Arabidopsis thaliana: one gene and its partners. The protein of the gene in region 1 interacts with the protein of each later gene in a pairwise test. Each region holds a gene or a part of one and is shown in the gene's direction. Other genes may lie near its edges.

Evidence for each region.
Region 2: the proteins of AT5G09820 (region 1) and SPS2 interact in a two-hybrid assay, tested with the Arabidopsis thaliana proteins (one study listed by BioGRID).
Region 3: the proteins of AT5G09820 (region 1) and SPS1 interact in a two-hybrid assay, tested with the Arabidopsis thaliana proteins (one study listed by BioGRID).

The regions. Positions count from the first base shown.
Region 1 is NC_003076.8:3,049,566-3,059,130, reverse strand, and holds AT5G09820 (Plastid-lipid associated protein PAP / fibrillin family protein), read left to right. Parts: upstream 1-1,552; 5' UTR 1,553-1,750; coding exon 1,751-2,036; intron 2,037-2,165; coding exon 2,166-2,404; intron 2,405-2,481; coding exon 2,482-2,580; coding exon of another isoform or gene 2,581-2,667; coding exon 2,668-2,712; intron 2,713-2,801; coding exon 2,802-2,875; coding exon of another isoform or gene 2,876-2,912; exon of another isoform or gene 2,913-2,962; coding exon 2,963-3,041; 3' UTR 3,042-3,513; downstream 3,514-9,565. Other genes in the region: AT5G09840 (Putative endonuclease or glycosyl hydrolase), read right to left, coding at 1-104; AT5G09830 (BolA-like family protein), read left to right, coding at 362-421, 1,006-1,028, 1,117-1,315; ACT7 (actin 7), read right to left, coding at 4,911-4,976, 5,075-5,688, 5,775-6,168, 6,263-6,322.
Region 2 is NC_003070.9:5,823,411-5,833,739, forward strand, and holds SPS2 (solanesyl diphosphate synthase 2), read left to right. Parts: upstream 1-5,504; 5' UTR 5,505-5,878; coding exon 5,879-6,098; intron 6,099-6,436; coding exon 6,437-6,561; intron 6,562-6,640; coding exon 6,641-6,768; intron 6,769-6,863; coding exon 6,864-6,967; intron 6,968-7,048; coding exon 7,049-7,176; intron 7,177-7,256; coding exon 7,257-7,805; 3' UTR 7,806-7,973; downstream 7,974-10,329. Other genes in the region: AT1G17030 (uncharacterized protein), read left to right, coding at 1-134, 270-785, 880-1,014; SHA (SH2 domain protein A), read left to right, coding at 1,699-1,857, 1,929-1,958, 2,073-2,264, 2,351-2,560, 2,646-2,798, 2,887-3,051, 3,161-3,340, 3,435-3,703 and 4 more; AT1G17065 (uncharacterized protein), read left to right, coding at 8,893-9,197, 9,251-9,318, 9,397-9,593, 9,627-9,660, 9,875-9,978; CYP72C1 (cytochrome p450 72c1), read right to left, coding at 9,579-9,774, 9,857-10,101. UniProt on the Arabidopsis thaliana protein: Involved in providing solanesyl diphosphate for plastoquinone-9 (PQ-9) formation in plastids. Catalyzes the elongation of the prenyl side chain of PQ-9 in plastids. Contributes to the biosynthesis of plastochromanol-8 (PC-8) in plastids.
Region 3 is NC_003070.9:29,531,152-29,541,369, reverse strand, and holds SPS1 (solanesyl diphosphate synthase 1), read left to right. Parts: upstream 1-3,887; 5' UTR 3,888-4,206; coding exon 4,207-4,393; coding exon of another isoform or gene 4,394-4,397; intron 4,398-4,547; coding exon 4,548-4,672; intron 4,673-4,765; coding exon 4,766-4,893; intron 4,894-4,997; coding exon 4,998-5,101; intron 5,102-5,185; coding exon 5,186-5,313; intron 5,314-5,411; coding exon 5,412-5,960; 3' UTR 5,961-6,192; coding exon of another isoform or gene 6,193-6,309; 3' UTR 6,310-6,310; downstream 6,311-10,218. Other genes in the region: SHB (SH2 domain protein B), read left to right, coding at 1-14, 73-175; AT1G78530 (Protein kinase superfamily protein), read left to right, coding at 689-824, 907-1,254, 1,336-1,578, 1,667-1,800, 1,890-2,096; AT1G78520 (Carbohydrate-binding X8 domain superfamily protein), read left to right, coding at 2,714-2,768, 2,869-2,897, 2,981-3,218, 3,369-3,394; AT1G78500 (Terpenoid cyclases family protein), read right to left, coding at 6,193-6,309, 6,384-6,870, 6,960-7,006, 7,078-7,134, 7,210-7,308, 7,410-7,664, 7,752-7,865, 7,945-8,136 and 6 more. UniProt on the Arabidopsis thaliana protein: Involved in providing solanesyl diphosphate for plastoquinone-9 (PQ-9) formation in plastids. Catalyzes the elongation of the prenyl side chain of PQ-9 in plastids. Contributes to the biosynthesis of plastochromanol-8 (PC-8) in plastids.

The DNA.
Region 1 (9,565 bases):
ATGTTAGTGATGAAAAGGGTAATTGTTCGACGGTGAGATTGGGTTGTGGAGGAAGAAGAGAGGCGGAAGAGAAGGGATTTGGATGGTAAAGATCCAAACTTCATGGTCGGAGAGCTATTTTTGCTCCGGGAAATGGAGAGACTGAGAGGGTTTTAGGAGTGAGGAAGACGAAGTAAAGGAAAGCAGAGCTTAAACCCTAGTTATTATTTTGGAATTGTCGATAACCGAATGGTATCCCAATTGAACCAAACTAAACCGTACTCTCGCTAAACCAAAACCAAATAGCGTATGGTTTAATATTCTAATTCAATGAGTACAGTAATTAGGGATTTCAATTTTTGTTTGAGAGAGAGAGAGAGAGATGGTGACGAAGGAGCAAGTCGAAGCTTCATTGACTTCGAAACTTAAGCCAATTCATCTCGTGAGTGTTCTTATACTGCTTTCTTCTTTCAATTTCATCTATTGATTAGGGTTTGAAACTTTTGTGGGAAACTTTGAAACCCTAATCATCAAATTGATCTGGGAAAATTGCCAAATTTGAGATTTTTGACCTGCTCACTTTGATCAAAATCATACACTTTGATAGTTGGATCATAAGAGGTACTATGTATTGTAATAATCTCAGCATCTAGATTATACATCACTATGTGTTGTCTTTCAGCTCTGAAACAGAATATAAAAGGTGGTTGTTTGCGTAGTTAGGTGTAATTTGATGCAGTGTGATACTGAGCTCAGGATTTGATGACGTAGTGTTCCTGATGTATTAGCAACTTAGTAGTGAGTGTTCTTGTCGGAAAATTTTATTTGTGTCATGGTTTTTTGTGAACTAGAACTCAAAAAGCAGATCCAAGGATGTGTATAGTTTCTTTGCTTTATAACATGTGAAGATTGAAGTTACTTCAATGTCAATCTATTTCCCTTTTCACTTGATTCATGTGTTCCAATTGTTTCAATCTTTAGCTTTTAGAATTTTTTAGTGACATTGTTTGTTTTTGTGTGTACCAGGAAGTCATTGACATATCTGGAGGGTAAGTACCGGATTGTCAATACACATTTGATTCTCTGGCTTATGGCATAATTTCTTGTTCTTAATATCAGCAAAACTGTTTATTGCAGTTGTGGTTCGAGTTTTGAAGTGGAGGTTGTCTCTGAACAATTCGAAGGGAAGAGATTGCTGGAGAGGCATCGTATGGTGAATGCTGCGCTAGAAGAAGAAATGAAAGAGATTCATGCTCTCTCTATTAAGAAAGCTCAGACTCCACAACAATGGAAGCCACCATCACAAGACTCTGCAACCTTAACCAAAGATGCCTGAATTTCTGTTTTTTAAAAGCCTTGTGACAAAGAACAGAGCATTTACTATGTTGATACTTTGTGGTTACTGTACTCCGATTACTGCTTTTGATGAAGTGTAAACACTTTTTTAAAACATATGCAATTGGTTGCAAAATATAACAAAAATTGGGTTTTTCTCAATTTAGATGGAGATTTTTTTGAGAATTTTACCATGACACCATCTTAAAAAAGAAAAAAAAGACCAATGGGATTGGCTAAATTTTATAATAGAGTCAGTGCAGTGTATGGTGGGGGGGAGAGATAGATGCTAAAAGATGGATAAAATAACCAAAAAAAACTGTCCATTCTCCTCCCCATAAATCTATCTCTCTCTCTTTTTCCTCAAATCCCATCTTCTTCTTCTACTTCTTATTAAGCTCCATTGGGTTTAGAGATTCTGGTGTATAAACTGCTAATGACGAGTAACCTTTTCCAGCCACCATCAATGGCAGCTTCACGAGGAGCAATCTCGAGAAGAACAGGAAACGTGAAAGTATTAGTCTCTTTCACCAGTTCTAATGGCAAAACGCTGAGTTTTAGTGACAACTCATTTAGGCTCAGACCCATGTTCATCGGGAAAGTCACAGAACAGAGTTCTTGTTCCTCCCCAAATGAACAACAACAAGATGAAGAACAAGAACAAGAACAAGAAGAGATTACAGTTTCTCATATAAAAGAAGAGCTCTACGAAGCTCTCAAAGGTGATTAGATTCGCTCCTTTCAGATTCCTTTCGACTATCAGAATCTTTAATTCGAAACTCATTAGCTCGTAGTTCAAATTTTGATTTTAAATGCTTTGATTCTGTTATCTGATTGTATTGGGATTAAAGGGATCAATAGAGGGATATTCGGAGTTAAGTCGGATAAAAAGACAGAGATCGAGGGACTGGTGAAGCTTTTGGAATGTCGGAATCCGACACCGGAGCCGACTGGAGAGTTAGACAAGATCGGAGGTTGCTGGAAACTCATTTACAGTACAATCACTGTATTGGGTTCTAAACGAACTAAATTGGGTCTTCGAGATTTCGTCTCTCTTGGTGATCTTCTTCAACAGATTGACATTGCTCAGGTAGATAAAAAAGAAATTGATCAGTTCAGCTTTTTAGTGATGACGTTTTTAATGTGTTTCTTTTTCAATTAACGAAGGGCAAAACGGTCCATGTGTTGAAATTCGATGTCCGGGGATTGAATCTACTCGACGGCGAGTTTAGAATCGTCGCTTCCTTCAAGATCTCGTCCAAATCGGTACATTACCGTTTTCTTGACGTTTTTAGGTTTTTTAGATTCTTGGAAAAATCGCGTTTTGACGGAATTGCGTTTGTTTGTTTGTAGAGTGTAGAGATTACTTATGAAAGCTCAACGATCAAACCAGACCAGGTCTGTGTTGTTGTTTTTTTTTCTTTCTCCGACATATATAATCAAATTCCTTTTTTGGTAATAAAAAAATTGTTTCGTGTTGGAATCAGTTGATGAACATATTTAGGAAGAACATGGATCTTCTTTTGGGAATCTTCAACCCCGAGGGACTATTCGAGATTTCGTATCCTTTTTTAATTAAAATCCAAAATCGTAACTAGAATTGTGTTTGTTATGGATTGGATTCCTTGATTCTGAGAAATTATTGCAGATACTTAGACGAAGATTTACAAGTAGGGAGAGATGGGAAAGGGAATGTTTTTGTTTTGGAAAGAATAGAGAAACCTTAAATCTTTTATACCAAAATGTTTACTGCATTTTTTTCAAACTCATTTCCATAAGAAGAAATTGCTTGTTTCTCAAGAAAATTTTCAATTTTTTCTTTGGTTTGGGTTATGACCATCAGTATTTCTTCTTTCTTTTGGTTTAAAAGAAGAAGAAAAATCTAGATTTAGTCTTTTTTTTGTCTTGGGAATGTTAGTAACTCCAGTTCATTCATTATTGACATAATTGATTCCTCAATAATACTGTATAAGTACTATTAGCTTGCTCCCATCTGTTTACTTCTAAGTCCTAGTGTTGATATTACAACAAAAGAACTAAAGAAGATGGTGAGAAATGTTTTCTCACTAGATATTTGGGCTTAAATGGGCCTTTAATTTGAGAATTGGGACTAGAAAATGGGCTGGTAGTCCTAATGGTCTACTCTACTCATTTTGGGATGCAAAAATTTCACGTTGTCGTTCTCATTTTTTTAAGTAACTTTGCTCTTTTGTCCCAACAAAAAAAAGTACCGTTGCTCTGATCATAAGACTATGGTCTGGGATTTATACAATAGCTTTCACATATTACTTGATATTGGTATGGGCCTAAAAACGGCCCTCAGACGAAAAAAGAGAAATTCTGTTTACCACATTAACTTTTGATATAGTAAATTAGTTACCATCTACTTGGATATTAAATCATCTACTAACACTTTAATCAATTATCAATTCATCATACACTAGTTGTTTGGACCGAAAGCTCACCGATAAAGAAGACAGTAGATTCTTTGGAAGGTTCAATAGACAATTGAAAAATGAATACAATAAAGTAAAGGAATTAGACAGATGAAGTCGGTGAGTATGTGCGGCAACTACACATTTTGTGTGTGTATATGAGTTGGCCAATGGATCATTTGTCAAAGTTTTCATAAAGTATTTGAGTGATTTGGCTGGACCGACCATTTCAAATCTTTCCAATGGTGGGGACAAAAATTTAACTAGTTAGGAAGATAAACAGATTGTGATGTTTAGTCATCTTGTGATTTGAAAGAAATAAATTTCGAAAAACTCCAAAGGCGTAACCAATAATATACATGTCCACCTAAAAAGATAAAAACGTGAAAATGATTGCTGCTCTCCAAGCGTAACATTCTGTGTAGACAGAAGCGGCTTAATGGAATATTCACATTCAATCCATTGTAAGCTTTCAAAATGATTTCGACTAAACTGTTGCAATTGAATCCAGCTTTCTTTTTAACCAAATAAATCATTTCTTTTCCCTTTTGTCAACATACAATGTTTGTTTTACGTATTTTGATATGTGGAGTCGATTACATTAGGTCATTTGTTTTTTAACTAGTGAATAAACTTGGTTTCTTAGATCAAATTCTTTTCTTGTTTCGCATCAGAATGGTAATACACACACAATTTTTGCTGGAGTAAAACATAAGCCACTCACTTACCAAATTCTTAGGCTAAGTATATATTTTGGGCGCCAATATAACAATCGACAATACATAATAGCTGCATTGTCACCCGATACTTAAATAATTGTCTCATACAAATAAAAGATTGAAGACATTCAAACAATATTTATATGTGAAGACAAAAAAAAACCAAAAAAATGAACCAAGGACCAAATATAATATGATATTTTTTTGCTTAGGGACAAAAAAAAACAGCATCATCACAAGCATCCTAAAGAAAATAGAAGAGATAAAACAGAGATATAAAACTAAAGTACACAAGACTTCTTGACACAACCATAAGGTTCTAAAGAGAAAAAAGAAAATAAAATCCACATAACAACAGATAGTTCAATTCCCATCTCAACTAGGGAAAATAGATTTTTTTGTAACAAACTCACCACCACGAACCAGATAAGACAAGACACACTTAGAAGCATTTCCTGTGAACAATCGATGGACCTGACTCATCGTACTCACTCTTTGAAATCCACATCTGATTCACACACACAAACAAAACAAAATTTCAGTATTTTCACTCATGTTTCATAAATGGAGCTGAAAGTTTTAAAGAGGCGGAATTGGGATTTTTACCTGTTGGAAGGTGCTGAGGGATGCAAGGATTGATCCTCCGATCCAGACACTGTATTTTCTCTCTGGCGGTGCAACCACCTTGATCTTCATGCTGCTAGGTGCAAGAGCGGTGATCTCTTTGCTCATACGGTCAGCAATTCCTGGGAACATGGTGGAACCACCACTGAGAACGATGTTTCCATAGAGATCCTTCCTGATATCGACATCACATTTCATGATGGAGTTGTAAGTTGTTTCATGGATTCCAGGAGCTTCCATTCCGATGAGCGATGGCTGGAACAGAACCTCAGGACAACGGAATCTCTCAGCTCCGATGGTTATGACTTGTCCATCAGGTAGCTCGTAGTTCTTCTCCACTGAAGAACTGCTCTTGGCTGTCTCTAGCTCTTGCTCGTAGTCAAGAGCGACATAAGCAAGTTTCTCCTTTATGTCACGGACAATTTCCCGTTCTGCGGTAGTGGTGAACATGTAACCTCTCTCAGTGAGAATCTTCATGAGTGAGTCTGTGAGATCCCGACCCGCAAGATCAAGACGAAGGATAGCATGAGGAAGAGCATACCCCTCGTAGATTGGCACAGTGTGAGACACACCATCACCAGAATCGAGCACAATACCTGTTACAAAAAGAGAACGACTTTAAGTAAATACAAGTAAGAAGATAATATAACTCAGACTTGGATGTTTAGAGTTAAGAACTAACCGGTTGTACGACCACTGGCATAGAGAGAAAGAACGGCCTGAATGGCAACATACATGGCAGGGACATTGAATGTCTCAAACATGATCTGAGTCATCTTCTCCCTGTTAGCTTTAGGGTTAAGAGGTGCCTCTGTGAGTAGAACTGGGTGCTCCTCAGGGGCAACACGAAGCTCGTTGTAGAAAGTGTGATGCCATATCTTTTCCATGTCATCCCAGTTACTTACAATACCATGTTCGATTGGATACTTCAGAGTGAGGATACCTCTCTTGGACTGAGCTTCATCACCAACGTAAGCATCTTTCTGACCCATACCAACCATGACACCAGTGTGCCTAGGACGACCAACAATACTTGGGAACACTGCTCTCGGGGCATCATCACCAGCAAAACCAGCCTGTTAATATACAAAAATCATGATCAGTAGTCTTACACATGTACAACAAAGAAGGTTAGAACCATACAGTATCTAAATAAACAGTCTAACTCACCTTCACCATTCCAGTTCCATTGTCACAGACAAGTGGCTGAATATCCTCACCATCGGCCATTTTTCACTAAAAAAAAAGTAAAATGAAACCGAAATGAATTGGATAAGCTCATGAAGTAAACACGAATCAGATCACAACTTAGTTTCGAAGATTAGCAGCGTTTATTGAAACTCAAACATCGCTTCATATGTTGATTATTGAGAAAACTAGGTTCAAACTTCACAGATCTCAAAGAGAAAACACTAGAATTCACTTGTAAACATCAACACCTAACAGATCGAAGATTAAAACCAGATCAATCGAGCATACACGAAGTCATTTCGAACTAAACAACTTCACTTCACTGAAAAAAACAAAAATAACAGCGAGAGATCGACAGAAGCGAGAAGAATCCTCAAACTCCATAGATCTAACACATAAACCTTAAGAATTAGCTCAGATCGATCCAACAAGCACGGATCGAATCACATAACAAGCAACCCCCAAAACAAAGATTTTCTCATAAAACCACAACGCATGCTAAACAGATCTAGCGAAATCGGCATAGAGAATCAACAATAACGACTAACGAGCAGCAAAATCAAGCGAACGGATCTAGAGACTCACCTTGAAGAAGAAGAAGATGATACAGAAGATTCGAGAAGCAGCGAGAGAGAAAGATAGAGAAATGGAGGAGAAACAACAGCGGCAGCAGCTAACACTAAGGAAAGCGAAACGAGTACATGTGCGAATATATAGCTCTACGATTTTTCTCACTCTTTTATTTTTTTCTATTTCTTCTATTATTTCCCAAATAAAAAATCTGGGAGAGACAATGCTATGGTGACCTGGCTTTCACACTCTTTTTAGCTCACCGACGCGTCTATGTTGCCGTTAGATTGTTTTGAGTTTGATCTAAACCGTTGATTATGATTCGGTTCAAATGAATTAGCCCGGGAGCCGTGACTGATGGTTACGGCTAAAGTTAGGCTCGGCTTAGGATTTATCGGCTCGGCTTTTGTGGTTCGGACATCGTTCAAATTTTATTCTCGAAATAACAAAAAACTATTAATAGAAAAATAATAAAAACTAGAAGAGCAGACAAACGGACTGTGGTTTTTTTCTCGTGACTGTTTTTTTGAAAATCTATGGAGTTGTTTATTCTTGTGAATTTTTAATACGATTTCGTCTTTCATAATTCAAACTTCACACTTATAAATTAGTAAACATTTGACGGGTAGACTGTTGCAACCAAGGAGAATTGACGGAAATGGTCGTTTATTAGCAATTTAGAACAAAGATTGGCCAATTGTTGACTAGTCCATTTTAAGAGCTTCAAAACTCTCATTTTTATGAATTTTATATGTAGAAAAAGAAAAACACAGATTATCGATATGTTTTATAATTTATATAGATTAAATTGCATCATCACAAAATATAAAACAAATTAATCGTAAGGTGAATTTTTTGATAAATGTTTAAACACTATTGTCTAGATTTTATTGTGACAAAAAATAAAATAAAATAAAAATATATTAAATGATTGATCGGTTTTCGTGATATATCTTTTTATGTTATAAATGTTTTAATGAGTTAATTGAAAATTCCTGAAACCAAAATTCTAGACCAAAACCCGAATAGGAGCAAGATACATATCAACTACGATTTTGAGGAATGCACACTAAAAGACTAGGATCTTTGAAGCATTTTTTATAAGTCACCTTTGTGAGTGTTCTATATGAGACCCAATTCTAAGAAAATAATGTGTGTAAAGTGTATTGTTTATCTATAAATGGTATCATTATAAATTGGTTTAACTGGCTTGGAATATAACATTGATATAGTCTCACAACATGTTATATGTCCATTGATACTATTGATTAATTTGGTATATGTCCAAAACAAGTTACTTCCAATAATTCAAATATTAATCACCTTTTAGAATGATTAAAAGCTTTAACAATAATCTTTTTGAAATAAAGTTTCATATTCCTTGTTGGAAAGCATGTGCTAAGTTCTTACACTTTGTCTATAAAAGTTGGAAAGTGGTCTAGCTTGGTTGGCAACTTAAATAATCAAAATAGTTATGGGTACTCTTCTAATTTATCATTCACCTTTATTTTCTTAACATTTTTGTCCAATAACAACATTACCTATAAAAAAAAAAAAAGAGAGAGGTAAAAGGTAAATTCAAAGGGAAGCCAAATCCGTCATCATTTGTAGTTTGTATTCCAAGGAAAGATAAGTTGATTTGAGCCACCATGCTTCTCATTTCCACTTTACATTGATTGCAAATTTTGAATTTGCCTCTTATCGTATACACATGAAATTGTTCTGTGTATCATCAAATTGGGGAAATATAGATGAATTCCCAACGATAAAACGGGCCGAAAATCTTTAATGGACTGAAATAATAACAATAATATAGTTGGGCTGATTTGGCCCAATAGGAAACTTAAAGACCCAATGATGCAGTCATCTTCACTGATTATCGTTTGGGTCTGGTTTGTATATTTCAAGAAGACCAAGACCAACCAAGTGGTTTAAACAGAGAATAAAAGCTTTTGATGTTTTAGAACTTGGATTGGTTTCAAACTTTAAAATATCTCCACATTGAAAACAAGATGAAAATATTTTCACGGACTATCATATCAGTCTATTCCTCTCCAAACAAAAAAACTCTGTATCATTTAAATTCGATTCTTCCCTCCATCGGTCACACTTCTTATTGGGCTATATTGGGCCTATTAGAGTTAGTTTGATATATGTTGCTGTCTGCAGTTTCTCGTTTGCTCATTTGAGTCATTTCTTTGCCTATGGTTAAAAATCTTAGCTAAAATGATGATTTAACACACACATACAAACAAATAAGTTAGACAGTGTTTTAATGTGTTAGATCCTATTCAATGATGTGTGCCAGATAAGTTCTAAATCATATAAAAAATCAGATACCATTTTCGAAGTGCATGTAAATCATAACTAGCAACACATGATATACTGTATGTTAAATGTTACAATATAATATATAATTCAGTCCCTAAATATAAATGAAATCATACGATCAAGATCAATATATAATGTTCTATCACTAACCAAAACATTCGACTCTTTCGTGCGAATATGTTTGTCGCTTGCATTTGGATACATATGTGAATTGTGAAGTAACAAAAATTTTTTTTATCAAAAAGAACAAAAACAAAAACAATTGATATACGTGATTGGAAATAATCGAGACCCTATCAACGCGGGGTACACCGCACGTGTATGTGCACGTGGACACGAGTGCACACGTACGCATTAGACACATCACATGCCCGCATATCA
Region 2 (10,329 bases), on another chromosome or scaffold:
ATGAGAGTTGGGTTTTTCATCATTTGTTGAAGACTTCTTCTAAGTATCCATGGTTGATGCTTTATCTACGCGCTGATGCTTCTCGAGGTTTCTCTGGTGGTTATCATTACGACACTAGAGGGATGATGAAGATGGTAAGTTTCTAATCCGCATTTTAGCAACCAAAACCGGTTTTACTCTGTTTCTGAAACGCATACGCAGAAAATAACCATTTTCAGCGATTTGGGACTAACATACTCTGTTTTCAATGATCTTTCATGACGCACAAGACGCTAAAATCGCCAGATTTTAAAGTAAAATTCAAGCTAGAGATTATTAAAGGAGGCGGTTCAGGGAGCCAATTTTACCTAATGGACATGGGAAGTTGCTGGAAAAACGACGGAAGAGACTGCGACGGCGACGTCACAACCGACGTTACAAGGTACAGCGAAATGATAATCAACCCGGGGGCAACCGCCGTTTGCACCCGCAACCGCCTAGGCGCTTGTCCGCCAGAGCATACTTTTCCAAACGGGACTAAAGTTCACAGGACGGACAAGGAGAAGTTCCCTTTCGAAGCGTATCACTATTACTGCGTTCCGGGAAACGCGCGTTTTGCGGAATCTCCGTACGAGGTTTGTGATCCGTACAGTAATCCACAACCGCAGGAGATTCTGCAGATCTTGCCTCATCCAGTGTGGGAACAGTTTGGGTATCCGACAAAGAAAGGACAAGGTTGGATTGGAGATCCAAGAACTTGGGAACTTGATGTCGGAAAACTCTCTCAGTCACTCTTCTTTTACCAGGTATTTTTTGTACTCCTCCTTTATATATATATATATCTGCATTTACATTATCACGAAAAGAGTATTAAAATTTCGAACATGTTAAAAAATGCAGGATCCAGGGACGAAACCGGTGGAGAGACATTGGTCGTCGATAGATTTAGGAACTGAAATATATATGAGTAAGAATCAAATTGCTGAATGGACTGTAACTGATTTCGACATTGTTATACCAAATGCCGATATTTAAGTGGAATAATAAGATTCTGTTATAAGCTGCTAAACCAAACCATCTCGAAAGCCTAAAACACAATTGAAATTCTTCTATAAACCGACGGGTTTTGATAATATAAATCCAAAACAAAATCGAGTTTTAGGTAACCGAATAAATTCGTTTTATTTTAATGTTATAAATTTTCTTAATTAATATGAAACCAAATCTAGACTAAATAATATAAACCATAGTTTCATCAAATTAAAATAAAATTATAAACATTTTTCATTTTCTGTAAAATCGAAATCAAAACGAATTTGTTAACCAGCTAACTGCAGATTTTATCCAAAGAAAAAAAAAATGGTAGTCAAGACCAGTCAATAGATCAAATAATTATGATTGGCTAATTTAGTTTAGTTTCGTGGTCGCGAGGCAGTAGATTGTTTGCTGATCGTCCCTATAGAGTATAGACTGAAACCACCGGAAGACGACGGTACGAACCGTTAATTAACAGCCGTCAAAAGACGTGACGAAAAATTCCTCAGCGTTTCTTTTCAGTTTCCTTTAAGCTCTCGATTGTGTTTGTTTAGGTAACGAGAAAAAAGCGAGACAAACGAAAAAGGTTTTACTTTTTTTTTCTTCATCTGTGTGTATTTTCATTTTCTGGGTTTTAAGGGTTTCGCTTGCAAAGTCGAGAGCTTTTTATCTGGGTGTGTTATAATGGCGGGTGATTGTGCGATTGACACCGAGAAATACTCTCTGCTGGAGGATTTTAATGTCGATGTTGAAGTCGAAAACAAAGCATTTGAGACTTTCTCACTTTGTTTTTGGGTTTATCTCTTAGATTCCACCACATACCCTTCTGCAATTATCAGACAGGTGAGTTCTCAGAAATGTCCATCTGTTGCCTTCTGTGTTATAATCGTTTTCATATATCCATGTCTTGTGAGATTAACTTGTTTTGCGAATTGGGGGAAAAGGTTCAAACTTTGTGTCGCTTCTTTGATTTTTTTTTTTTTAGTATAACCATTGTTGATTTATGAGTTTTAAACTGTAACAACCAGCTTCTGATTAAATAGTGGCTTTCTTCTCAGGTTCACTCTGACATGAGTGTTAGTGCACCTTTCCTTGTTCTAGATGAAAACAAGAAGATGATGCTTTTGCCATTGACTCTCCTTCACAGGGAAGCTCCTGATCCTGTTAACACTTCTTCTTGGACTGAAGTTCCTAATGTTTCTACAACGGCTAAGTTTCCTCTTCAAAAATGGGTTCATGTGGGTTGTGAGGTAGTAATTATAAGATCTCTGAGGACTCTTATTAATTTGACCAATATCTCTTTTCTTCGGATTTACTGATTTCTGTTGTCTCCTAGGTTTCTAGAAACTATATGCGCCTTTATATTTGTGGAGAGCTTGTAGGAGAGCAAGTCTTAACTTCCTTGATGACCAATGGTACAAATTCAGATTGCGCACGAAAGATATCGTTATTTAGTGTTGGTGGAGATGGTTATAGTGTTCAGGGTTTCATCCACAGTGCAGAAGTTTTGCCTTCTAATCTCTCTGCAAGTTATCACTACACAAAGGTAGTTTCTTGTCTTTGCCTTCTCTTCTTTTTCAACAAAAGACTCTTGTCCTGTGTTTCTTTATTTCGCTTCATTTCTTTTCCAGGACCCACCTTTATGGTTATCTGTTGATAAGCCATCTACATCTGGAATTGAATTGGATGAAGATGGTGTTTGGAGTGTCGTTAGTGGAACATTTTGTTCCTTGGATGTTGTTTTAACCAATGCTATTGGACAGCCTGTGCACAAGGATGTGAAGGTTCATACTCTTATGCTTTCTAAAAATTTCTGCATTTGTTTAGCTCAGGAAGTATTTCTGATAGCGCGTTATCGATTTGATGTTGCAGGTTGTGGCTTCTCTACTGTATGCTGATAGTGGGACGCATGTTGAGAAGAGGAGTGACTTTGAGGCATTCCTTTTAGTAAGCTATGAAGGCATTGAATTATCTGCTGAAGATAAACCGTGCAACTTATTGAACGGATGTGCTTCTTTCAAGTTCAAATTATCTCAGGTGGTGATTATAAATCTAGGCCATCGGAATGGGATTTCACATTCTTGTTAGAATTTTTTTGTCTATGCTAAAAGGCATTGAAGGATCCTTGTTTTCTTTTGTTTTGTAGCTTTCTTCCAAGAGTGATAAGAGGTTGTTCTGCATCAAATTCGAAATACCAGAAGTGAAGGCCAATTATCCTTTCCTCGAAACTGTCACCAACCAAATCCGTTGCATTTCGAGAAACCGTGATTCTGTTTCCTCTATGAAACGGATCAGATTAGGAGAAGAAAAGGTTTCTGAGAGTAAGGTGGATAATCCAATTTCTCTGAGTTACGTTTTGTTTTGCTTTGTATCCATATCCCACTTACTGTTATTCTGCATTGTTGTTGCTCTCGAGTTAGATTGTGAATGGAAATGGTACGAGTATGGAATGGAGGCCTCAGAACCACGAAGAAGATAACTCTTCAACTGATTCCGAAAACACTGAAATGAGAGACTCGACTGCTTTCAGGAGATATTCAATCCCAGACTGGATTATTTTCAAATACTGCCTTGGAAACTTAACAGAGAGAGCTCTTCTTCTGAAGGAAATCACAAACAATTCATCAGACGAAGAAGTCTCGGAATTTGCAGATCAAGTTTCTCTCTATTCCGGATGCTCCCACCACGGGTAAAGAAATCAAATTAAACTCACACCTGCCTCAAATAAAATAGAACACTAATCTTCCAAATTTTCCAGCTATCAAATCAAAATGGCAAGAAAACTGATAGCAGAAGGAACAAATGCGTGGAATCTGATCTCTCGGAACTATCGACATGTTCATTGGGACAATGTGGTAATTGAGATTGAAGAACATTTCATGAGAATAGCTAAATGCAGCAGTAGATCTCTCACTCACCAGGTCTTGTCTCTTTCTCTTCTCATATTGCTTGAACTTTCACCAAGATCAAAGTCTTGATCTTTTGTATTTGTGATTCTGACATGAAATTGTAATCAGGATTTTGACCTTCTAAGAAGGATATGTGGATGCTATGAATACATAACTCAAGAGAATTTTGAGACAATGTGGTGTTGGTTGTTCCCTGTTGCTTCGGCTGTATCAAGGGGGTTGATTAATGGAATGTGGCGCTCTGCTTCGCCTAAATGGATAGAAGGGTTTGTGACTAAAGAAGAGGCAGAACGTTCGCTTCAGAATCAAGTACCGGGCACTTTCATTCTCAGGTTCCCTACTTCAAGAAGCTGGCCACATCCTGACGCTGGTTCCGTGGTTGTGACTTATGTCGGCCATGATTTAGTTATTCATCATAGATTACTCACAATCAACCACATCTGCGAGTAAGTAAACCTCTTTATCTCCTTTTTTTTTCCCCTCAGTGTCTGTCTTGTGACAATTGTTTTTGTTTTTAGTTCTAGTGAAAGGTATACAGATGCAAAACAGTTGCAAGATATGCTTTTGGCGGAACCTGAGCTATCTCGGCTTGGAAGGTGAGTGAGGAAGTGAAAAAATTTAGTTTTTGTTGAAGCAAAGAGAGATCAAATTGAAGATCTTAAATTGCTTATTTTATTTATTTTGGTTTTTGTTGCATTTTTCAGGATTATAAGAGGCATCTGAATCTAATCAACAGACTCAACTCAACAAAGTAGAGAAGCATCGACTGTTATTGAGGTTTATTGTACAGATAGATTTGCTAAGTCTAAGTATTAACTGATACTAACTTTTGTAAAGCTCAGTGATTTAAATTAGGTGGAAAGGATTTTTATTGTAAGACTTAAGTATATTTGTTTATCTAAAATCAATTACCGACAAGAAAGAAAGGAGTTGCGATTTTTGCTTCTTCTGCTCAGTTTTTATATTTGTGTGGCCCATTTATGTTCCAACTACATATTTGCTTGGTCCCTAATCCCTTATTAGAGGTTAATTATGGTAATGTTTTTTTTACCAAGAAATAAATAAAATAATTATGGTAATGTTTTTCTTTCATATTTTTGTTTTGTTATGTACTAATTAAATTTAAAAGCTCTTAGAAAATTTATTCAACCATTTTTGTTAATCTTCTCATATATGATGACTTATTGTGATTGGTAATACATGGAATGAGAATAATATACAGAAATTGTAAATTAAGTCATAACAGTATTATTTTGATTCACAATGGAGTTGGAGAAATGAATTATCAATATAAAAAATCATGGTTTCACGTAATTTGATGATTTGTTTTTAAAATACTCCCTAGAGCCTAATTATTGTAGGTAAAAAACTTATTAGTATAAAATTTGTGAGATCTGGATTAATGATATTATAATTGTCTTGAAACCAGAAAAATGGATATTCTCTAATCTCAAAATATTTGATACGAGTTAGATGACGGACCAATCGGTAGGAAACACGTGGTGACATTTCAGCTTCTGATTACAACGATGGACTTTTTTTTCCCTCTCTCTCTAATTTGTATATTGAATTAAAAAAGAAAACGGACACACACACACACACACAAATCTGAAATCTCTCTCGTCCGCCAAAGGTCGAGTTTTGAGAGCGAGTTCTTACTTCTGATGTGGTTTTGTCTCGTCCACCCAAAGAAAATCAACACAAAAAAAAAAAGGGATCGATTCACAAACTTATAAATTTCTTGTCTTTTTTATTTTTTATTTTTCTGAAAATTTGCCATACACACACCCAATCTCTCTCTCGTCAGCCAAAAAGAAAAAAACTTAACATTGGACTCTCAGTTTCCGAAGATTCTTCTCTTTGGACTCTCAGTTTCTGAAACTTATTATTAGCCGTCTTTTTTTGGTTTGGGTTTGCCTAAAAGTTGTCGTCACTTGTGGATTTTGGTCTGAGAAATGATGATGTCATGTCGGAATATAGACTTGGGTACGAGTGTTCTTGATCATTCTTGTAGCTCTTCTTCAACAAGTCGTCGATTCTTGTTTGGCAATTCTTCGAAGACCGTTTGTATGATTGGTGGCAGAAGCTGTGTTGGAAATTTGGTATTTCTCCGGCGAGATTTGGCTACTTGCAGAGCTGTTCCGGCTAAATCCAAGGAGAATTCTCTGGTCAACGGTAACCAATTTTTCAGCAGAACTATCTGATTTTGGTTGTGTGATTGATTGAGATTCTTTGATTTTGAGGTTTGGTTGGTTAAGTAATTGAATCATGTTTGATTGGTCTTCACCTTTTTGGTGCATAGTTTTAGTCTTATAACAGTTCAGTTTTGAGCTCATGAGACAGAGAGTCTCATGAATTAAAGTTTCGAGCTTTTTGAATGTTTGCTATGGAAATAGAAATCTTTAGTTTTGGTTGAGGCAAAGAGTCTTATAAGCTGAGATAATTTATGAGAAGTCAAAAGCTTATACATTTAAGACTTTTCTTCAGGGTTTTGAATATTGATGATTGTGTAGGTATTGGTCAAGATCAAACAGTGATGCTCAATCTGAGGCAAGAGTCACGAAAGCCAATATCTTTGGAAACTCTGTTTGAGGTCGTAGCTGATGATTTGCAGAGGTTGAACGACAATCTTTTATCGGTTAGTACCTCGCCACCATTTCTTTTCTGGTCTCTTGATAGAGGGTTATGTTTCTTATGTAAATTCTCTTCTTTTATAGATTGTTGGTGCAGAAAATCCGGTTTTGATATCTGCTGCTGAGCAAATCTTCAGCGCTGGTGGCAAGAGGATGAGACCGGGTTTGGTATTCCTTGTATCACGAGCCACTGCGGAATTAGCAGGCTTAAAGTAATCTATATATAACTGTCATTACATCTTTGACCGCGAAACTGCTCATAATCTTTAGAAATAAAAATGATGGTTTATAGCTGATCTTGGTGCAGGGAACTTACAGTAGAACATCGGCGTTTAGGTGAGATCATTGAGATGATTCACACCGCAAGTTTGATACACGATGATGTGTTAGACGAAAGTGATATGCGAAGAGGTAAGACAAAAGTTCCATTCTTTTGATCGGAGTATGCATTTTCTCTGCAAAGTGTTTAAGCTTTCTCTCTGTGTTTGTTAGGAAGGGAAACGGTTCACGAGCTATTCGGAACAAGAGTAGCTGTATTAGCTGGGGATTTCATGTTTGCTCAAGCATCATGGTACTTAGCAAATCTCGAAAACCTTGAAGTCATTAAGCTCATAAGTCAGGTAATATTCCTTTCTGAGATTAGATGAAGCTACTCAATACAAAGAACATTTGGTCTGAATCTTGATTTATCTTTTTGCAGGTGATCAAAGATTTTGCAAGCGGTGAGATAAAGCAAGCATCGAGTTTATTCGATTGTGATGTCAAGCTTGATGACTACATGCTAAAGAGTTACTACAAGACAGCTTCATTAGTAGCTGCAAGCACCAAAGGAGCAGCAATTTTCAGTAAAGTCGAAAGCAAGGTCGCAGAGCAAATGTATCAGTTCGGGAAGAATCTCGGTTTATCTTTTCAAGTAGTTGATGACATTCTGGACTTCACTCAGTCCACAGAGCAGTTAGGTAAGCCTGCAGCTAATGACCTAGCCAAAGGTAACATAACGGCGCCAGTGATCTTCGCGCTAGAGAATGAGCCAAGGCTAAGAGAGATCATTGAGTCTGAGTTTTGTGAGCCTGGATCGCTTGAAGAAGCGATTGAAATAGTTAGAAATCGCGGTGGGATCAAGAAAGCTCAAGAATTAGCAAAGGAGAAAGCTGAACTTGCGTTAAAGAATTTGAATTGTCTTCCTAGGAGTGGTTTCAGATCGGCTCTTGAGGATATGGTAATGTTTAATCTTGAAAGGATTGATTAGTTTCAAAGGGTATTTGGCAGAGGAAACTGTAACAACACTCTTTACTTGTTCAAAACTTCAAACACAGATTTTTTTTTTTACTGTATGTCATAATGGAGTAATAAACAAAAATTCATGCTTATTATTGCAAAATAAAAGTAACTCAATTTTTTAGATACTTGTGAATGGTACTAGACCCAAATATAAATTGATCTGTGTTAAAATTCTATACATCTTGGTATTGAAAAGTGAAAACAACAAATTTCACATAAACAGTAAAAAAATTAAATCGAAGTTTTGTAAATGGTCATATTGATTTATTTATTTTTGGGACAAAAAATGGTAATATTTATAAGCTTGCTATTTAGTTGGATTTAAGTTTGGTTTTGATTGAGATTCTTTAACTAACTCAAAATGAAACATAAAATTTTCTGGAACCGAATAAATTAATAAATTTGTGGTTTCAATTCGAGAATGTTTGTCTGGACCGAATTACCTAAACAAAACAAACAAATTAGAAATATAAATGCAAAAACAGCTGATCTTGATGCGTCTCTTCAACCATCTGTTCTTTTCTATCTTCTTTGATTCTTTTTTTGTTATAATTATTGTTTATCTTCTTTGATTCATTGCCTCATGTATTAGACTAAATTAGTAAATGAGCTAAAAGCATGTTTTCTTAATCATTTTGTCGAGATTCAACATATATAAGATTACTATTTCACGTGGCATTTTCTTTTAACATGGCACAAGATTTTTTTGTAGTGAAGTTGAAATTAGGCAAACAAATAAGAAAAGCCTCTCTTATGTGTGTGATGACTAAAGTGGAATTAAAATATACAAATGAAACTCATTATGTTAAACACATAAACTAAATCAGGTGGTGGTGAAAAATATGCTATGAAAATAAAAAAATCTTATGAAATTTCTAGATTTTAATTTGTTTCATATATACAAAAACACCCAAATAAGATTTCTTGACCGGATTCAAACTGCATTTACCACTACACACCTTCAAGGTTCTGTTTTGTTGATGAACAAAAAAAAAGGAAGCACCTTTACATTTTTTTCCTCATTCTTCTACCTCCTACAGTTTTCGGATGATCAAATGAGCTCCATGTTGTGGAAATGTAGTTGCAGCTGGGAAAGGAGCATGAGTATACGATGGAGAGAGTTCAACACTGAACCTTTGAAGTACCATTGCCAAGAAGAGTTTAGCTTGCAACATCGAAAAGTTCTGACCGATACAAGTCCGAGGGCCCGAGCTAAATGGCAAGAAGGAGAGTCTTCCTTTGGTTGCACCCGCCACGCCATTGGCGAATCTCTCGGGCTTAAACTCTTTCACATCGTCTCCCCAAAGATCAGAATCATGGTGCACCAAGAGCATTGGTATTGTTACTACAACTCCTTCAGGTAAAGAGAATCTCTCTAGCTTCACTTCTTGTTTAGTTATCCGACATGTGAAGTAAGCTGGTGAATAGAGTCGTAGAACTTCATGGAGGATCATTGTTACCTAATGATAATAACCAAAGAAGTTGTTAAAAAAAACAACCCTTTTTTTAGTTATAATGTGGTTTAGTCACTTTTGAAAATGTATACTTACGACTTTCAGGTGGCTTAGCCCTTCGAAATCGGGTTCGTTGTTACCGAAGGCCTGAGAAATCTCGTCTCTTGCTTTGTTTTGCCAATCTTGATGTTGGCTTAGAGCAACAAGTGTCCAAACAAACAATGAAGAAGTCACATTTTGACCAGCTAGATAGAAAGCCTTGCAGTCATCTATCAGATCATCAAGACTCAGCCCTGAATCTGGTCCTTGTTCTTTGATGGTTTTTGTATTCGAAGCCAACATCGAGAACAACAGTCGCTGTTTTTGTCGGTACCTCTTCCTCTTTTTATCTCCTCCTCTTTTGTCTCAATCATCGCTTTAAACATAGCCCTCATGTCCCTTTCGGTTTCTCTCAACCTCCTGTTGAACTTTGTTGGCAAAAACCTGCACATAGAAAAACTGAATCAGCAAAACTAGCTTCCGACTTTTTTAATTAAACGCAGTTGATTTTAGACAATTTCTTTACTTTGAGCCAGGAATGTAGACGGCTCGAATAGCAAGGAGACCAAGATCAATCTGTTCTTGTTGGATTTCGAAGATCTTGATACCATCTTTGTAGGAATCACCAAAAGAAGCACGAGCAAGCATGTTTCTGGTTAAGTCATGACAGTGAGTCCATGAATCAAGTTCCATTGTTCCTTTTGCTGAGGCTAATCTCTCCCATTCTTCTAACATTTCTTTGCAACTCGAGTTAAATGCTGGTAGTATGCTCTGTTCATTTATACCATTTCAAAATCACTACCAAATTTCACACCAAAAAAAATCACAGAAATGGGTCTTTAAAGAAGCTTACATTTTGTATATTATTTATTGCTACTTATTTGCTCATAATGTTTTTGTTAAAGATGATGAGTGCTCTGCATATGTGAGGTTTCTACACTGATAATGAAATGATAAATTCTTTTTGTCGAAATAAATTTGGTATTTTAGAAATTCTTG
Region 3 (10,218 bases), on another chromosome or scaffold:
TCTCGGTTAGGAAGGTGAGAATGGTTCTTTGTTGTGTTAGACCAAAATATAAAACCGAATTTCGAGACTGAGAAACGTTGTTTTACTTTGGATTTTTGTTTGTGCAGGATCAAAAGAAGCCACTGAATGTTATGCATTTTCCAATATACAGACACTAAATCTCTCTTACAGTTAGTAAATTTTGTATAAGCTAAGAGGGCTTAGCTAAATCAGTCTCAAATTAATGTAAAAATCACAATTTGCAAGGATTTTTTGAATAATTGTTCATCTTCTTTTAGATGTTGAGGCTCAAAAGTTGTAAAATCTTGCAATATTACTGATCTTCTTATACATGTTGAGTATAAAGTCAACGACAAAAACTAGGTAGTAGCTGGTAAGATACCCACTTCACGAGTTCTTTTATTACAATTTTTTCATAAAGTGTTACTTCTCCATTTAATAATTTCAACAAAAAGCGGATGAATTTTTATGTATAAACTCATTTTTCATTTCATACGTAATAATAATATATGAACTGTTTTCTTATGTGGCCTGTCCAATTGTTGGTGAGGATGAAAAAAAGTTGTAAACCTACTTTCTTTTTCTATCTATCTCCGTTTTCACGTAACCAACTTCTTTGTCTTCTCTTCTTTTTCAAATCAAGATAATGAAATAAGGAAACAAAAGTTTACAAGTTTTCAGAAAAACAATGGCTAATGCAAAGGAAACAACGTTTTATATAACAATCTCTGTGGTTGCTTTTGTCATTGGCAAAATCGTAATCGCTCTTCTTTTCTACAAGAGATGGAAGAGAAAGCACACAATTCATGAAAATGGATTTCCAGGTATTAAACTAGCTTTATCTATGCTACTATGTGAAATAATCATTTCTCTAATGTTTTAATTTTGTGTTTTACAATTTTGCAGTCAAAGGAGGAGGAAAAATGGTGATGTTTAGATCTCAATTACTTAACTCTGTTTCCTCCGACATGTTTATGAAGAAGACACATAAACTAAGCAACAAAGACATTCTTGGTTCTGGAGGATTTGGAACTGTGTACAGATTAGTCATTGATGATTCAACTACTTTTGCTGTGAAGAGGCTAAACAGAGGAACTTCTGAGAGAGACAGAGGGTTTCATAGAGAGTTAGAAGCAATGGCTGATATAAAACACAGAAACATTGTAACTCTTCATGGCTACTTTACTTCTCCACATTACAATCTTCTCATCTATGAGCTCATGCCTAATGGGAGCTTGGATTCTTTTCTACACGGTACACATAAAACAGAGCATTAAGCACAAAACGTGTATTTGAGTGGTTTCTTTAGCCACAAGTTTTTTTTGTTATTTGCAGGAAGAAAAGCTTTGGATTGGGCGTCGAGATATAGAATCGCAGTAGGAGCGGCTAGAGGGATTTCGTACCTTCACCATGATTGCATTCCTCACATTATCCATAGAGACATCAAATCTAGCAACATACTTCTTGATCACAACATGGAAGCTAGGGTTTCTGATTTCGGTTTAGCCACTTTGATGGAGCCAGACAAGACTCATGTTTCGACTTTTGTGGCTGGAACATTCGGATATTTAGCTCCTGGTTGGTACACAACTGATAGATTCAAATATATAAACCAAAATTTGGATTGCATTTCGATTTTGTTCATGTTTGTTTTTGTTATAAACAGAGTATTTCGATACTGGAAAAGCGACAATGAAAGGAGATGTTTACAGTTTCGGAGTTGTTCTGTTGGAGCTTTTAACTGGAAGAAAACCAACAGATGACGAGTTTTTCGAAGAAGGAACAAAGCTTGTTACTTGGGTATAAAGTTATCTATCTATTTTCCTTGTATAAGTTATTAATCTTGTTTGGTTTCAAGCGACGTCGTTGTGGTGTGTAATTGTATACAGGTTAAAGGAGTGGTAAGAGACCAAAGAGAAGAGGTGGTGATAGATAACCGATTAAGAGGATCATCGGTTCAAGAGAATGAAGAGATGAACGATGTGTTTGGTATAGCGATGATGTGTCTTGAACCCGAACCAGCAATTAGACCAGCCATGACTGAGGTTGTCAAATTGCTCGAATACATCAAACTTTCCACACGTTCCTCTTTTTGATGTTTCTCTTGTCAAGAAAAATAATCAAATTCAGTTCCAAAATAAAGTTTTGCTGAAGAAAAAGATTTCGAGATCTGCTTCTTTGAAAAGCTAAATTGTAATTTAATACTCCATATTAGTATAGTAAAGATTATTTATAATTGATTTGTTTTAGTATGGAATAAAGGATTATTACACACAAAAAAGCCTTATATCAACTATTCTTTTTTAAGATTCTCGTACAAAGTGGGCATTGGATCTTTAATTTTTCCCTAATTTACAGCTCAGCTCACGTTTTGATGTCTTGTTATTTGATCCCAAATGTTCTCACTACTACATTAAACCTTTTGAAGCAATTAGCAACCTTTTTTTTTTGTTACTTAGCAAAACCAAACCAAACATTACGTTTATATAACGACACTTTTGCTAAAACGGTTACTTTTCCTAGAAGCAATTTGCTGGATTATTCACCTCAAAATCCTAAAAACATTAATTAGCATTAGATATCTAAAAAAAGTGAAATACAAATCTTTGTTTCTTTTTAAATTGTTTTATTTTATAAAATTGATTCACTTGCTCATCATTTATATACACCAAAGAGTGTAGAAGAGTTCTCTCACTCAAACAAAAATCAAACAATGGCTAAAGCATGGATCTGCCTTTCCTTCCTCATCTTCCTCTACCTTGTCTCAGGTATATAAATTACCAGTTTACCACTAATCAGCCATCCTAGTTTAATTAATTTAATAATCCTAATTAACAGTATCATCCTCATGTTCTTTCCTTTTAACAGAACGAAACTTCATCAACGTCAACGCAGAGGTATTTGCTTAGACCAACTATCAAATTGCTATCTGATTTTTTTTTCTTACTCAATGAGTTTTTGTTCTAAGTTGTTGTTATAGACCAAGACTTGGTGTGTGGCTAAACCTTCTTCCGATCAAGTAGCACTTCAAGATAACATAAACTTCGCATGTTCTCATGTTGATTGTCGTGTTCTTTTGAGTGGATGTCCATGTTACTCCCCTAGTAACCTCATCAACCATGCATCTATCGCCATGAATCTTTATTACCAAGCCAATGGAAGAAACTATTGGAACTGCAATTTCAAGAACTCCGGACTCATTACCATAACTAATCCGAGTGAGTTTGCTCTTTCTCTTTAATTATGCTATCGAAAAACACTTCTCTATCTATATATAGAGAGAAGTGGTTTTAAAGGTAATTTCATTTTTACCTTTAAGTATCTGGTTAATTATATTAAAGGTAATTTCATTTTTTCTATATGTGTAGGCTATGGAAACTGCTACTATGAATAAACATGAGCAAGAAAGGAAAAAAAAAAACCATATTTCTTACAAGCAAACAGAAGAGGAATGTGTTTTCTTGTTGTTGCAATGTTTATGAGTTATAATTTAAATTTCCAAAGTTCGCAGATTTTGATTAATCAAATTTGATAACATAAAAGCAAAAAAGAAAGTATCCAACACTTATCAAAATTTGATCACAATTATTCCATCTCATTTTCAGTAATGACCCTTATTACGTACTGACCGTAAACATAGAACTTACCGTAATTAAGCTTTTAAAATTGAATTCTTCACCACATGAACATTTGGAAATATGTAGAACAACGTAACGTTTTCTTTTCTTTTTTCTTTGGTGTCAGAAACTAACGCATTTCTAAAGATTTTTTTTTTTTATAAAGGTAACGTATTTCGATATACTCGAATGTTAGTATGTTAAACCATTGGATAAATGACACGTGGTGAAATCTTAGCCTCAAGATTAGATAAGCGTAGACTAATCAATCGTTTCCCTCTTCTCCTTGGTATTGAACAAAAACACAGTCGTCACTTTCGTGCCTCCCGAATGATCTCATGTGGGCTTGTCTCGTCCACCCAACAAACTATAGAAAAAAAACTCGATCGGCTGATACTTAATCACCCACTTGATTTTGTATTTTTGTACCTTTTTTTGTTGTAATTTTTCCATACACCCAATTTCCCGTGGAAGAAAAGGAGTCAGCTTTTTCGTTTGCTTTAAAGCTTGAATCTTTACATAGTTCCAGTTACTTTCTATAGAGCTTCATAATCCCTAGTTGCCCAAAAGGATTCTGGGTTTTGTGAGAATGATGACGTCATGTCGGAATATAGATTTAGGTACGATGATGATGGCATGTGGTTGTGGCCGTCGTCAGTTTCCTTCATTAGCGAAGACTGTTTGTAAGTTTACTAGCAGCAATAGAAGCTATGGCGGTCTGGTGGGGAGTTGCAAAGCGGTGCCAACGAAATCAAAGGAGATCTCTTTGCTCAATGGTATGTATGATTCTCACTTAAAGTCTTAAACTTTTTGTTTTATGTGATTAGATATTTGATTTAGTTTTTAAGTGTTCGTGAACCTTGTTCTACAATAGTTACAGATTTTTAAGAATCACTGGAGTTTATGCTTATTGCCTCATGAGAATTGTAGGTATTGGTCAATCTCAAACAGTGAGTTTTGATTTGAAACAAGAGTCAAAACAGCCTATTTCGTTGGTGACTCTGTTTGAGCTAGTAGCTGTTGATCTGCAGACTTTGAATGACAATCTTTTATCGGTTAGTGTTTCTTATAAACTCTTTCTGGCACTGTCTTTGTCTATCCTGTGTTTGAAGTTTCACTAGGGGATCTAACAAAGTGGTTCTTTATAGATTGTTGGTGCGGAAAATCCGGTTTTGATATCTGCGGCTGAGCAGATTTTCGGAGCTGGTGGTAAAAGAATGAGACCGGGTTTGGTATTCCTTGTATCACATGCCACGGCGGAATTAGCAGGCCTAAAGTGAGTAGTCTAAAGACTTTACTTTATTTTGTTGGTATTCCTTTCATTCAGTTGGGTATCCATCTTTTATCACAAAATGATCATATTCAGATGTCTTGATGCAGGGAACTAACAACAGAACACCGGCGTTTGGCTGAGATCATCGAGATGATACACACTGCAAGCTTGATACACGACGATGTGTTAGACGAGAGTGACATGCGAAGAGGTGAGTTTTGTTAATAGTTATGAGATTCATCTATTTTTGTCATAAAATTGTTTGGTTTGGTTTAAACTCTGTGTATAATTGCAGGAAAGGAAACAGTTCATGAGCTTTTCGGCACAAGAGTAGCGGTGCTAGCTGGAGATTTCATGTTTGCTCAAGCGTCATGGTACTTAGCAAATCTCGAGAATCTTGAAGTTATTAAGCTCATCAGTCAGGTACTTAGTTACTCTTACATTGTTTTTCTATGAGGTTGAGCTATGAATCTCATTTCGTTGAATAATGCTGTGCCTCAAACTTTTTTTCATGTTTTCAGGTGATCAAAGACTTTGCAAGCGGAGAGATAAAGCAGGCGTCCAGCTTATTTGACTGCGACACCAAGCTCGACGAGTACTTACTCAAAAGTTTCTACAAGACAGCCTCTTTAGTGGCTGCGAGCACCAAAGGAGCTGCCATTTTCAGCAGAGTTGAGCCTGATGTGACAGAACAAATGTACGAGTTTGGGAAGAATCTCGGTCTCTCTTTCCAGATAGTTGATGATATTTTGGATTTCACTCAGTCGACAGAGCAGCTCGGGAAGCCAGCAGGGAGTGATTTGGCTAAAGGTAACTTAACAGCACCTGTGATTTTCGCTCTGGAGAGGGAGCCAAGGCTAAGAGAGATCATTGAGTCAGAGTTTTGTGAGGCGGGTTCTCTGGAAGAAGCGATTGAAGCGGTGACAAAAGGTGGGGGGATTAAGAGAGCACAAGAATTGGCTAGGGAGAAAGCTGATGACGCTATAAAGAATCTACAGTGTCTACCTCGAAGTGGCTTCAGGTCGGCTCTAGAAGATATGGTGTTGTATAACCTCGAAAGAATTGATTAGCTTTCCAAAAGAAGTTGGAAACACTGAGACATGCTTATAGACTTATAGTACAGTAAAACACACACAAAAGAGGAATGATTGTAACTCCTATTTCAAAAGTAATAACACATGATTTCGATTTTTGGAAAGATCTTTTGACTGATAATCAGCAATTAGCAGAAAATGACAAGTGTTGAAGTCATTACTACAGTAGCAAGAGTGTTTCATAGAATAAGCTTTGGATGCGAAGTCTTCAACAGAGGGGCACGCGCAGCGCCTTTGTGTAGTATGTGAGTGCCCAAAGAGTGAAAATGTTTCTATAGGTTGCATAATGGACCATCACGTTCATCTTGAACACTCCCATTATTTCCTGCATTTTGTGGTATATAGAGTTATCTTGTATCAGATTGAAGCGCAAGTTGGAGAAAGAAAAATGACAATTACCTCTTGCGGAAAATCGCCATTATCCAACTGAGAATTGATCAACACTTTAGCTGCGCGATGAACAGGCAAAGGGTCTCTCTCCATCTGACCACCCATAATAAGAACCATCAATGCTTGTCCAGTATTCACCACATTGGTTCTGTTTCCCTCTAGAAGTGTATATTTCTTGTTGGGGCAAGAGAGATAACTCTCACCCCAACCGCCTTCAACGTTTTGTGTCTCCAGAATGAACTGAACCGCTTTACGAATCGGCTCACAGTTCTGGTACGTCTTGCCTGCAGCCACTAGACCCCTTACCGCGAAAAAGGTTCCATACATGAAACACACACCCCAGTTTCCGTACCACGAACCATCGGGCATTTGAAAGCTTTCTATGTATTTGACAGCATTCTTGATAAACTTTTCAACCTCTTCCCTTCTGTGCTCCGGAAACTCCTTCAAGAACCGAGCCAATGCCACTATCGCTGACCCCGTACATTCTACATACCTAAACAAAGCTCCATATATTCCATAGTATAAATCATTCATTTTTCAAAAGAAAAGAAAACAAAAAAATTGATGTGGTAAAGATAGTACTCATGCTCGACGATTGTGTCTTCCATAAACTCCACTGGACTAAGCCACTGAAATTTATTTTGAGCCATTAGTATTACACTAAAAAACACAAACTAGTAAGACAAATTAAAATAACTACCTCTAACCATGTTCTTCCACGAGCTGCCTCCCACACTGTTATACCTCCATTTTTGCTCTGTTAAAATTTTGTAACAAATTAATATCACTAATCACTAGCCGTTGTGGAGTTTTGGTTATAAAATTATAATACCTGAAAATAGAGAAGTAAATTAACGGCATCATAGAGCCTCTCTACATCCATTTTCTCGCCAATCAACTCCGATGGCATGCTTCCAAAGACAAGGCAACACTGGCCAGCCAAGTGTAAACCGCGTTTAATCCTCAAATGTTAGTTGATTGATGGTAAAAGGGTACTTTAATTAAAAAACTAATAACCATTGGAGTCAGAACCTCTAAACTCTCAGCAGTACAATCCGAAACAGGCCATCCTTGGTCTTGGTCCGAAAATGTCCATCCTCCTTTCGCAATGTCTTTCAACATTTTTCTATGGTCACCAGGAGGATTTTGTGTAAGCTGAGATTTATTCAAGAAACTGTATCCTTTGATTAACGTTGATCTAATCTCATCATCATCGTCATCAACATCTTGATAAGCTAACATGACTTGAAGTGAGAATGCTGTATCCCACAGTTGGCTACCAAAAGACTGCACCAAATGACATTCTCTAATTTAAAAACTCAACATTTTCAAAACAGAGTAAAAAATATATATACTCTTTAGTTTATGACTAACTTGGATTTTCAGACCATCCTCCCCAATCCATATGTAATCCGGGACTCGAGCAAGATGTTTCTTAAAATAATCACCGTCGGGGTCTTCTACCCAACAAGCAAGCATATGAAACGGCTATATATCAAAAATCAAAGAACAGTGTTATAGTACTAGTTATGATTTGTACTAATACGGTATATTGAGGAAATTTTACCTTAGGCACACATCCACCGGTAAAGTAACGGCTGGCTTCATCTTGATAATGAAGAAGTTCCATTGTGGTTCGAAGAGCTTTTTGCCTGATAAGCTTGTTGCAAGGCCATCGATTCAGGATATTCTCTGACAATATATGAACACATTTCCAAAACATTTCTTGTAAAAATGACTGTGGATAGTAGAGATCTTCCTGCATCATGTCATTTATTATTATTATTATGTGATACTTCATTGGTCTCATGTACTTTTCAACTTTTTACCTTTGCGCACTGATTGCGAGCTTGACTCCATAAGATTTTGTCATAAGGTTGAGGATAAAGCTCTTCCCGAAGCTGTAAAATGAGAGGTGTTGGTGTAGCTACAAATTTCTTACCATACAAGTATGACACTCCCATAAAAATGTCCCGGAAATAAATCCATAGAGTACCTGTTAACAAACATGTTGATTAGAGACATGCTTGGACCGATCATATATATACTCCAGTAAGCAAATATAACAAAACCATAACAATTTATAGAATAGAATGTGGAAGTGGAACCTCCGTTGAAGGGCGAAAAAGTAGGGAGCATCCACACCTCAGGCGGTATTGGTTTGCAACCTGACCAATCATACACTCCAAGAATCTGATTGGCACAAAACAATCCATGATACAACTGAAAAAAAAAACTCCTCGAAAATAATAAGACTATTTTTTTTTCAATAAAATAAGTATTCCGCCATGCATAATACCGATAACCAAGCTTTTCCGATCAAGGGCGTATAAGTAGCACCACCGTGATCGAGGATCCACTTACGAGCCCTTGCACAACCACTTCCTTTAATATCATCAAGATCTGCTTCTACTCCCAGAATCCGTAGGCAAATGTAGTTGATGACTGTGCAGAACATAGCGCTTTGGCCTTCCACGTGTATTCCCCACCCACCATCTTCGTTCTATAAACCAAAATAATTATCCTCGTAGTTAACGTCAGAAAACTATCATAGTAAAGATCAGAGAGGGGCTTATCACTAAAAAGAAGCTATATGTGATCAAATGTGTTACATAATAAGTTCACCTGATGGTTGTACATGTAACGCAATAGTTCTTTGCGATGTTCCAAAGTCAAGATTTTCTCCAAATGTCCAGTGATGTACAAGCATATGACCTAAAAGTACCATATCATTACACTTTACATATATATTTAATGAATAGAAAACAAAAGAATAGTATAGTATTAGTAGAGAGAGTGAAGAATAGCTCACAAAGGGAGCTTCGAAGAACAAGCAACCAGAGTTTTCAGCAGGCCAATGTCCATCCTCAGCTTGCAATGCCTTGAAATAGAGTATCCCTCTTCTCAGTGCCGTCTTTGCGTCTTTGTACGTTATATTTTCCGCATCTCCTATCTCCACTCTCGGAATCTTCTGCTCGAACTTCTTCTCCCTCAGGAACTATTAAAATCCATCCAAACACACAAACTTATATTCAACCAAATGCAAGTTTTACTGCTGCAACTAACTAACATGGTAGTGTCTCCCAAGAGATCAAGTCCCGAACTTTCTCATTATCATCATGCATGTTAAAATTAAAGCTTACCTGCATTCGCCAAAGGAGATCAGCACTGATCTTGAAACGTGATCGGTTTATGGAGAAATTCTGACGAGCTTCATCGACCTCAGCGAGTTCCTCTGGAGAGCATGCATCGGCATCAAACTCCCAAGTCTGCCTTCCGGTGTAGTTGTTGGTGGTGAATAAGTGAGTCTCATCTCCGCCCTTAGCCCCGATCTTCAGCCTCCACATTTTGTATCAAACCTTTTAGAAAGTCAACAAGAACATGCATGTAAAACATTGGAGCACGTATAAATAATGCCATCATATTGTGTAAGGTTTCTGAACGCAAGCTCACACTGAGAAAGATGACACCTAGCATCCCTCTTCTAATATGTGTCTTTCCTCTCAAACTTCTATTAAATTTTATTATATATTAAAAAAATATCTTGAAACTATCAAGGAGATACATTTTTGCTTCTATCATTCTTTTTTTGAAAGAGATAACATTAAATCTTATATAATAAATAAAATAAAATTCAATTAAACTAATAGAAGTGCCTTTTCTTTGTGACATGTGCCTTTTCTCTCAAACTTTCATTAGATTTCATTATGGTATTATGATTAAAAAAAAAAAAATCTTAAACAAATATCTATGGGACATACTTTGTTTTCATCATATCGGAAAGGCATAACATTAAGCTAGACATAATTTTTGTCTATTTTTCTACTTATTTTCATTAAAT